Linked DNA regions of Callithrix jacchus. The protein of the gene in region 3 purifies or fractionates together with the protein of the main gene of each other region. This does not show direct contact. Links are inferred from orthologs where the notes say so. Each region holds a gene or a part of one and is shown on either strand. Other genes may lie near its edges. The genes, in order: RPL7L1, CTCF and RPL13A.

Region 1 (2,575 bases), on a different chromosome or scaffold from region 3:
GGCAAAATGCTGGAGTTGAGTTTGTTAAGGAAACTTGTTAGTAAACATGATTAATAGCATGTAAATTAATTTTTTGTTTGTTGATTATTTTTCCCAATAATTCCCAAGTTTTCTCTCCTCCACCTTTACTTTGGTTTCTGATTTTTCCTTTATATGAAAACAGAGGATGTTGCTTTGCTCCCCATTGTAGAACACGGGGAAAAAGCTCTATCAGTTGTCACTCATAAATTACTGTTGTAAAAGTAAAAATGAATGGAAGCACAAAATGACGATGGTGATGACGGTCTGTCTTCTCTGCAGCAGAGGAAAGGAAAAGGGCCCAGGTTTAAGCGATTGGAATCATTCCTACATGATTCCTGGCGGCAGACCCGTGACAAGGTGCGTGTCAGACGACTAGAAGTGAAGCCTCACGCCTTGGAATTGCCAGATAAACATTCTTTGGCCTTTGTCGTACGCATTGAAAGGTAAGGAATTGGTGTCTTCCTAATTGCATGAGGCTGTTGGTTAAGCTTTAGACCCATTTCTAGGGAGATAAGATATTAGACCCAAGCCACTCAGGCAAGTTCTGCTAGGATGTCAGGGTTAAGCACAGTTTAGTCTGAAGTATTTGGAAGACCTCCTTAGACAGATAGGCTTGGAAATAAGTGATGTGAGGGTAAAGTGCTCGCTAGGGAGATGGGTTGAGGACACCGTCTCTAAAGCAGGAACTTCAGCCTGAGACCTGAAAGATGTAAAAGGCGTTCACCGTTGTTGGGAGACTTTGCAGGCATACATGCTGAAGTCCTGAGGTGGGGAAATCATTCTAGGAACTGAAACAAGGCCAAGTGGATGAAGCATATTCTTTGAAGGGGAGATACTTTTCCTCATTTAGTGGAACTTTCCTGACCCCATCCCTACCCCTTTGTACAGCTCTACTTCTTGCTGTTTCCCCTACCCAGTCACCCCGTGGCTTTTGCATATTTATGAGCTCTGTCCTTTGTGGCACTCTGCCACTGTGCGTGTTTTTCCTAGACTATTGTATTAACCTTCCTTCTGGATTTCCTTGTCTCTAGTGTCACGCACTGATCTGTTCCATACATGGCCCTTGGTAATTGTCAGAAGAAAATCTGGTGGTGTTGCTTCTGCTTAAAATCTTCAGTAGTGGCCAGGTGCGGTGGCTTATGCCTGTAATCCCAGCACTTTGGGAGGCCAGGGCAGGCAGAGCACGAGGTCAAGAGATCAAGACCATTCTGGCCCACATGGCGATACCCCGTCTCTACTAAAAATACAAAAATTAGCTGGGCATGGTGGTGCACGCCTGTAGTTTCAGCTGCCCAGGAGGCTAAGGCAGGAGAATTGCTTGAACCCAGGAGGCAGCGGTTGCAGTGAGCCAAGATGATGCCATTGCACTCCAGCCTAGGTGGCAGAGTGAGACTCCGTCTCAAAAAAAATTCTTCAGTAGCTTTTACCGCCCGTACAAGCACATCCAGCTTCCTTAGCTGGACATGCGTAGACCTACATACCACCACTCCCCCTACCCCTGAAACACACACAAATTCAGGGACTTTCTCTGTGTTTCCATAGCACCCCAGGCATTGCTCCACATCATGAAAGGATATGTTTTCATAACCACCTCCCACTAAACTGAGCTCCAGATAGCCAGTGTTGTGACCTCGCATGTTGTGCTTGCTGGACTGACATAAACTGGAGGGAGTCTGTCTGACTTCTGTTGTTACTCATTTCAGGATTGATGGTGTGAGTTTACTGGTGCAGAGAACCATTGCAAGACTTCGCCTAAAGAAAATTTTTAGTGGTGTCTTCGTAAAAGTCACTCCCCAGAACCTAAAAATGCTGCGTATAGTGGAACCTTATGTGACCTGGGGGTGAGTAAGACTTCCTGTGTTAATTCACATTAGATTTCTATTTGAGTGTGTTAGGGTGCACTGGGTCTCATTCTCCAGGGTTCATGTCACTGTAGAAGGAACATTTTGCTGTGACCACGGTCACCCTGAAATCAGCAGGTAGCTTTAAGAAACATAGCACACGGGGTACAGAGGAGTCTTTTTTTTTTTTTTTTTTTTTTTTGAGACGGAGTTTCACTGTTGTTACCCAAACTGGAGTGCAATGGTGCGATCTCAGCTCACCACAACCTCCACCTTCTGGGTTCAAGCAATTCTCCTGCCTCAGCCTCCCGAGAAGCTGGGACTACAGGCGCGCACCACCGTGCCCAGCTAATTTTTGTATTTTTAGTAGAGACGGGGTTTCACCTCGTTGACCAGGATGGTCTCGATCTCTTGACCTCGTGATCCACCCACCTTGGCCTCCCAAAGTGCTGGGATTATAGGCGTGAGCCACCACGCCCAGCAGGGAGGAGTCTTAACAGTGCCATAGTAGGGCTGGTTTAGTTGTAGGGTAAGGCTGGATCAAGCAGAGATTGGTTCTTCAAAGTCTTAAAGCAGAGCTAAGGGCAGTGTTTGTGTAAGAGTAGTATTGCTCAAACATTGAAACTCAACAAAAGCTTGGATTTCATTTCTAGCTCTTGTGCCATCTTGAGTAGAGGGTTGCTTAAGGCCAGAGTCCTAGACCCTAAGCTAGG
Region 2 (2,610 bases), on a different chromosome or scaffold from region 3:
TCCTGGGCTGCTAACAGGCAGCTCTACTATCTAGGAGGGTCTCCTCACTACCCGGTAGTTGTGCATCTGTCTCTCCTTTCAAATGAACTTCTCTAGGGTAGGCTGGGCCTAGCTTCTCTCTGTTCCCTCACACCTGGCAGAGCTCCAGGTACTGATCCCAGCCCTCCTTGAGTGGAGATCCTGAGTATAGAACTTTCCATCAGCCCCTTTCACTCTAAGCAGCTCTATGGCCCACCTACTCAAGTGGATCACAGAAGCTATGGCTGCTGTCCATCTACTCACCTCTCTGCTCACACACACTTTTGGGGGAGTAAAAAGTTATAGCAGGATGCACTCAATATCCAGTCACCTGCCAAGATCATCTCCTCCCATCTGCTAGAGGAAGTACCATCCTAGGGAACAGAGGTTGCCTGTGAAAGGCAGAAGCCTGCACAGCCTGGAAACCATGTAAGCAGCCCCCCAACCTCCCTCAAGCAGGCAGGAATTAAGCAAGATGGAGTCTTTGGAGCACTTGTTAATCCGTTATGATTTATTAGCTGTACAGCAGTAGATCCTCCTCCCCAGCTTTCAACCCCATTACATATTTTATTACAGGTCTCATGTTGGCATCCTAAAATAATGAAAAATATCACACAGTACAGCTAAGTACAAAATGCATCAACCTAGAGTCTGATAGCTAACTGATGGCTCTCTTAAAAGCAATACACAGAAGAAAAAAGTGTTTGAAATCAGTAAGACTGAGGCTCTCTAAAAAACACATTTTTAAACATGTGACGGTTCATGTGCAAGAATCACTTTTTAGTTGGTTTTGCTTCACATTATTTTTTGAAGATCCAAAGTTTAAATTACTGACCTAGTGAAATTTTCTGGCCCAGCTTTATAAGGGCTGCTGTGACCCACTCATAATCAGCCTTCTGCTTTAACAGAAGATTTATAAAACACAGCATTCAGCTACAAACAGGGCAAAGAAAATGTCGATGGGAAATCATAACTCAAAGTTAATTGTATAAGGTTCAAATGCTGGCTCCGTGGGCTGGAAATCATGATCTGCCACGTGGGTGTCCGTCACTGGCGGGCAGTGCCATTCTGCTACATGATTGTGATCCAATTCCTTGTCAACATTTACTCACTACAGAGTCTGTGGCAACTTAATTTGCAAGTAATTAAAATGCTGGGTTTTCTTACACTGCACTTCTTTTCAACCTCTTAATTAATGGAAAAGATTAAAATGTAAAAAAAGTTATTTACAAGCTTGACCATACCAGAAACTTTGCCAAGAAAGAGGCAAAGCTTTCAGGACAGAACCTGATCGTAGCATGCCATACTACTGGTGTGCAGCTGACTCCAAGCAAAGGGAGTCAGGGAAAAGCAAAAGCAAAAAACAGTTTAAAAGTCTAAGTCCTTCCCAAGTATACATTTACAATTAAAAACTCTCTTGGGAAGAAGACCATAGAACTCTGGGAAGCCTGGTGGCCATTCTGGAGTGGTTTACCACATGGAGGGAGGGGTCAATGTCTCCGTTTCCATCTAGAAACGAGTTAGTCGTCAACACTGTCCTCAGCACTTCACAGTAAACCCTCGGGGACTCAGAACATTCCATGATTTGCTAACATCAGACAGCAAATTCTAGTTAAATCACATTTTTTCTAACATCAGCGTTGAAGTTTTCGTTCTTGGTATGTTTGGTAAAATGGGCTTCTTTTCCCAAAGCCAAAAGAAAGAAGGGAGAAAAATTAAGATGCAGGCCGTTTAAACACAGCCCAGAGCAGTCCTGGTGATGCATAAGGCTCCGCCATCACCGGTCCATCATGCTGAGGATCATCTCGGGCGTGAGGTCTCCATTGGGGGCATCTGTGGCAGCTGGCTGGGCCTCCTCTTCCTCCCCCTCTGCGGGCTCAGCATCTGGCTCTTTTTTTACTTCAACTATAATGTTCTCAATTGCACCTGTATTCTGGTCTTCAACCTGAATGATGGCTGTTGCTGGCAAAGAAGAGCACAGACAGAACAAATGGTGCAGTAAAGCCCCAAGAATCACAAGGGTCCTTTAGATTGACAGTGAATGAGATGTCAGCAATGCAGGAAAGCCTTATTAGCTAGCAATCCACAGAAAGTCAATTTAAAGAGCCCCCGCCCTTTCTTTTTTTAAGGTGGAGTCTCACTCTGTCACCCAGGCTGGAATGCAGTGGCACAATCTCAGCTCACTGCAACCTCTGCCTCCTGGGTTCAAGTGATTCTCCTGCCTCAGCCTCCCGAGTGGCTGGGACTGCAGGGGTGCGCCACCACGCCCAGCTAATTTTTGTGTTTTTAGTAGAGATAGGGTTTCACCATGTTGGCCAGGATGGTCTCAATCTCTTGACCTTGTGATCCACCAGCCTCGGCCTACCAAAGTGCTGGGAATCATAGGCATGAGCCACTGTGCCTGGCTAGAAAGCCAATTAAAGGGCTAGGTGTGGTGGCTCATGCCTGTAATCCCAGCACTTTGAAAGACTGAGGCAGGCAGATCACCTGAGGTCAAGACCAACATGGTGAAACCCCGTCTCTACTAAAAATACAAAAATTATCTGAGCATAGTGGCAGGAACCTGTAATCCTAGCTTCTTGGGAGGCTGAG
Region 3 (4,370 bases):
GCTCGGACACAGAGGAAGTTGGCTAGAGGATGGTCCCTTCCTTGGGCCCGATGCCCCTCTCGCTTCCTCCCCAGGATGGAGGCAACACCAGAACCCAGCACCGGCCCCATTTACCCAACTCTGTACAAAGCTGTTGTCCCATGAAATGTATACAAATCATCCTTTTCTACCAGCTCTGGCCAGGTCTGTCTGGGTGTGGATGGGGTAGTTTTGATTTCAGTCTTGGTTTTTCCATTGCAATGCAATGTTTCATTCGATAGGTGTTTTCTGAGGTCTCCTGGAGGCCCAGGCCGGGACTGGTTAATGCTAGAGCCCGGATCGGAGTCAGAACCAGCCCAGACGCCCCAGGTCTCCTAGGCTATGGAGGAGAAGACAAGGGACTCAGCGTGCCTGCGTGCAGGATGCCACAGGCTCCTATGGAGATAGCATAGAGGCAGTGTGGGAGCCCAGGGGTGTAGGTGGCAACTAACCCAGGCTGGGAGATCAGAGAGGCTTTCCAGAGCCAAAGGGCACTGCGATGGTGACAAGCCAGATTTGGAGGGGTTGGGGAGGGCATCCTGGGCAAGGGACCCATCTGAAGCAAAGGCCAACAGTCCAGAAAGTGAGAAGTTTCTCAGAGGAACGCTCAGCGGATTGGTGCAGCCAGGTATCTAGAAGTCATTCCTTCATCCACTCCTAGATCCCCTGGGGAAGACCACTTCCACCTGTTTTACAGATGGAGAAACTGAGGCCCAGATAAAGCCAGGGATTTGTCCAGGTCAGAGTGAAGTCGACCAGACACCGGAATCCAAATCTCTAAACCTAGAACGGGCAGGGCACCGGGGTTCACGCCGGTAATCCCAGCACTTTGAGAGGCCCAGATGGGAAGATCGCTTGAGCCCAGGAGTTTGAGACCAGCCTGGCCAACATGGCAAGACTCCCCACCGCCCCCGTCCCCGCCTTGACAAAACAAACAATATATACATATATATAGCCAGGCGTGATGGCACGCCCCCGTAGTCCCAGTTACTGGAGAGGAAGAGGCAGAAGGATCCCTTGAGACTCGGAAGTCGAGGCTGCGGTGGGCCATGATCGCCCCACTGCACTCTGACCTGGGTGACAGACCGAGACCCTGTCTTAGAAAATAAAGTAAGCCTGGACTGAGCGTGGAAGGGCGGGCCTGGCGGGTCTGGTCTCCCCCTGAGGGCCACCAGAGGCCCTGCAGCCTTCAGTCGCTTGAAGGAGTAGTGGCGCTTCCACTTAGAAACAAGGCAGACAGAGCGTGTGAACGAGATTTACAGCCCCTCAAACACACGGCCGCAGAGACGCGACGGCCACACCCCAGCAGCACCGCTTCCACACCCCACGTGATCTATTGCAGGGCCCAGCTCTGGTCGCGGAGGTCTGACCGGAAGTGTGTCCGGATTGGACAATTAAAAGATAACCCGCCTTCCGTGGGGCATCTCTGCGCGCGCGCACAACCCTTTGACCAATGACAACACAGAAAGTTGTTTGCGCGCTCACGTCACTTCTGCCGCCCCTGTTTTAAGGGATAAGAAACCCTGTAACAAGACCTCCTCCTTTCCCGGGCGGCTCCCGAAGATGGCGGAGGTGCAGGTGCGGGCTCCGCATGTGTCGGGGCGGCATGGGGTGGCATGGGGCCGGGTGGGATTCAGGCCGGAACGGGGTCGTACCCTCTCGGTTCTGCTACCTGTGTTGCAGAGTTTAACACCTACAGTTAAGCAAAATAGAAGTGTTTTAGGGTAAGGGGAAAATGTAGAAAAGGACGGGGCTCTCTTTAGGCCTAGGGTTGGCTACAATGCGGCATTTCTTTCTCGTGGCGAGGGTGATGGAGCTCCCAGTACAGGACGGATTACTTTACAACTAGACCTCGCTTACCTTGAGCTTGGGTAATGGGTGGGGGCACCGGGGTCGAGTCTTGGCTGAATTGGACCCTTGTGTGTCCTCGGCGATGGGGAACACGCGAAAGTCTGGCCGGGCCGTTTCGGGGCCGTGAGAAACTGAGGATTGCCCAAAATGGAAGGTATTTCCATCCTTCCCAGTGCGCGGGCTGCTTTAATCTCACGTGGAGGTGTTAATCGGGGTCCCCTGCAGCTCGGTGGTTTTGATTCTCAATACTTTTCTGCGGGGGGTCGAGAGAGCTGTTGCCTGCCGGGCACTCAGGAATGAATCGTTTTCCTTCGTTTGAGGGGGTTGGCGATTGTCCTGAGGCCTGCTGGCTTCTGAAAGTGGAGAGCTGTGACAAATGGTTCCACAAGGATGGAACATCTTTTTCTGCAAACGCCCGGGGGGCCTTTTTCCTGTTCCTTGTGTAATTAACTATAAAGTGGAGGTTGGCCCTGGAAAGGTTTCCTTGTGAATAGTCTGGTTGTTGGGGGCGGAATTTCTGAGCCAGGCTGATCTAAGCAAGTGGTGGTGTTCACCGAACGTGTGTCTTTGTGTCTAACAGTTTGCATTGTTTCGTCTAGTTAACGATATTCCTGAGGCAGATACTGTTAACCTTATTTGACAGGGGAGGGAATCAAAACTTGGGAATTGGTGAGTTTGGGCCAAGGTCAAGACTTCGGGAAGTCTGGATTTAGATTGTGTATATCTGTATTGCGTTCCAACACTTACAAAGGACGTGTAACAACAAATATATGCCTCGTGATTTTGCATTATAACAATGAAGATATCTACTCTGGGGTTTTCTTCCTTTTTTCTGAGATGGAGTCGCCTTGACTCCCAGGCTGGAGTGCAATGGCGGGGTCTTGGCTCATTGCAACCTCTGCTCAGGTTCAGGTGACTCTCCTGCCTCACCCTCCCAAGTAGCTGGGACTACAGCTGGCCGCCGTGATGCTCAGCTGATTTTTGTGTTTTTAGTAGATGAGATTTCACCGTATTGGCCTCAAGTGATCCGCCCGCCTAGGCCTCCCAAAGTGCTGGGATTACAGGTGTGAGCCACTGCGCCTGGCCAGGATTTCTCCTCTAGAGGAAGCTGAGGCTGGGTGCCTGAGCAGTTTACCTAGGCAAGGAGAGTGGCAATAGCAGAGCTAGCATGGGTTTATGCCTGCTCGGCCTAACCTCGCCCCACCTGAAGTTCGGTTTTCTTCCAAATGAAATTTGTGGTAGCAACACCCTATACAGAGGATAGATGCTGTTAATATTCTACAATTGATTGGGCATGGTGGCTCGACCCTGTAATCCGAGCATTTTGGAAGGCTGAGGCCGGCAGATCACTTGAGGCCACGAATACAAGAGCAGCCTAGGCAACATGGCAAAACCCTGACTGAACAAAAAAAGTACAAAAATTATATGGGAGGCTGAGGCTGGTGGATCACCTGAGGTCAGGAGTTCGAGACCACCCTGGCCAACATGACGAAATCACGTCTCTACTGAAAACAAAAATTAGCCAGGCATGGTGGTGGGAGCCTGTAATCCAAGCTTCAGGGGAGGCGGAGGTTGCAGTGAGCTGAGATCATACCATTGCACTCCAGCCTGGGCAACAAGAATGAAACTCCATTCCTTTTTTTTTTTTTTTTTTTTAATTCCTTTCTCGCCCATTTCAAGTCTGAGAAACTCCCATCTCAAAAAAAAAAAATAAAAATAGCTGCGTGTGGTGGCGGTGTGCCTGTGGCCCCAGCTGCTCAAGAGGCTGAGGTGGGAGGATAGCTTGATCTGGGAGGTTGACCGCCTGTGCAACAGCAAGACACTCACTGTCACTCCTACACTTAGTTATAAGGTCTTGTAACTGGATAATCAGTGGGCAGAGCCTTGCTGGTCTACATTGAAGTCCTTGCTCATCCTCTTGCTTCGCAAAATACAGTCTGAGCATTAAAAAAACATAGAAGACCTGAGATAGGAGAGGGGTTCGGGCATTTGCACTGCTCACTCACTCCTGAAGCAGCCTTGTGTTCTCAGCCCCTGTCCTCATCTGTAGAGTGGGCCTCGGTGCATAGTTCCCAGCTGTGATGGCTGGGTTCAAGGTTGCTTGAGGACAAAAAAAGACTGTCCTTGTCTCCCACAGGTCCTGGTGCTTGATGGTCGAGGCCATCTCCTGGGCCGCCTGGCAGCCATCGTGGCTAAGCAGGTACTGCTGGGTAAGTCGCCCCCCAGAGTCCCCCTGTGGAGCCACCGCTGGCGGTCCGTGATGAGCAACATTCACCATCTTTCGTTTGAGTCTCACGGCCATGAGATCAACCCCATGCACCGCTCTGAGACCTGCCAGCAAATCTTCCCCAGGGCCAGGGACTTGAGGCTCAGAAGTGATTGTGCATTAGGCTAGCTTTTCATTTAAACATGAACTTGGCTCTGGCAAGTACTGCATTGTGTCTGGGGGATGCCTGTGCAGGCTGTGGTAGAGCCCTCAGCTCTTCGTAATCCTCTCCCTC

What was found.
Region 1: the proteins of RPL13A (region 3) and RPL7L1 purify together in Homo sapiens (affinity purification with mass spectrometry; 3 studies listed by BioGRID and IntAct, with this or other methods). This does not show direct contact. The link is inferred for Callithrix jacchus from reciprocal best matches to the Homo sapiens genes RPL13A and RPL7L1.
Region 2: the proteins of RPL13A (region 3) and CTCF purify together in Homo sapiens (affinity purification with mass spectrometry; 4 studies listed by BioGRID and IntAct, with this or other methods). This does not show direct contact. The link is inferred for Callithrix jacchus from reciprocal best matches to the Homo sapiens genes RPL13A and CTCF.

What each region holds. Positions count from the first base shown.
Region 1 is NC_133505.1:51,390,429-51,393,003, forward strand, and holds part of RPL7L1 (ribosomal protein uL30-like), read left to right. Parts: intron 1-300; coding exon 301-464; intron 465-1,724; coding exon 1,725-1,862; intron 1,863-2,575.
Region 2 is NC_133521.1:25,148,042-25,150,651, reverse strand, and holds the end of CTCF (transcriptional repressor CTCF), read right to left. Parts: intron 1,981-2,610; coding exon 1,796-1,980; 3' UTR 508-1,795; downstream 1-507.
Region 3 is NC_133523.1:43,259,135-43,263,504, forward strand, and holds the start of RPL13A (large ribosomal subunit protein uL13), read left to right. Parts: upstream 1-1,559; 5' UTR 1,560-1,581; coding exon 1,582-1,596; intron 1,597-4,006; coding exon 4,007-4,079; intron 4,080-4,119; exon of another isoform or gene 4,120-4,203; intron 4,204-4,370. Other genes in the region: FLT3LG (fms-related tyrosine kinase 3 ligand), read left to right, coding at 1-144. UniProt on the Homo sapiens protein: Associated with ribosomes but is not required for canonical ribosome function and has extra-ribosomal functions.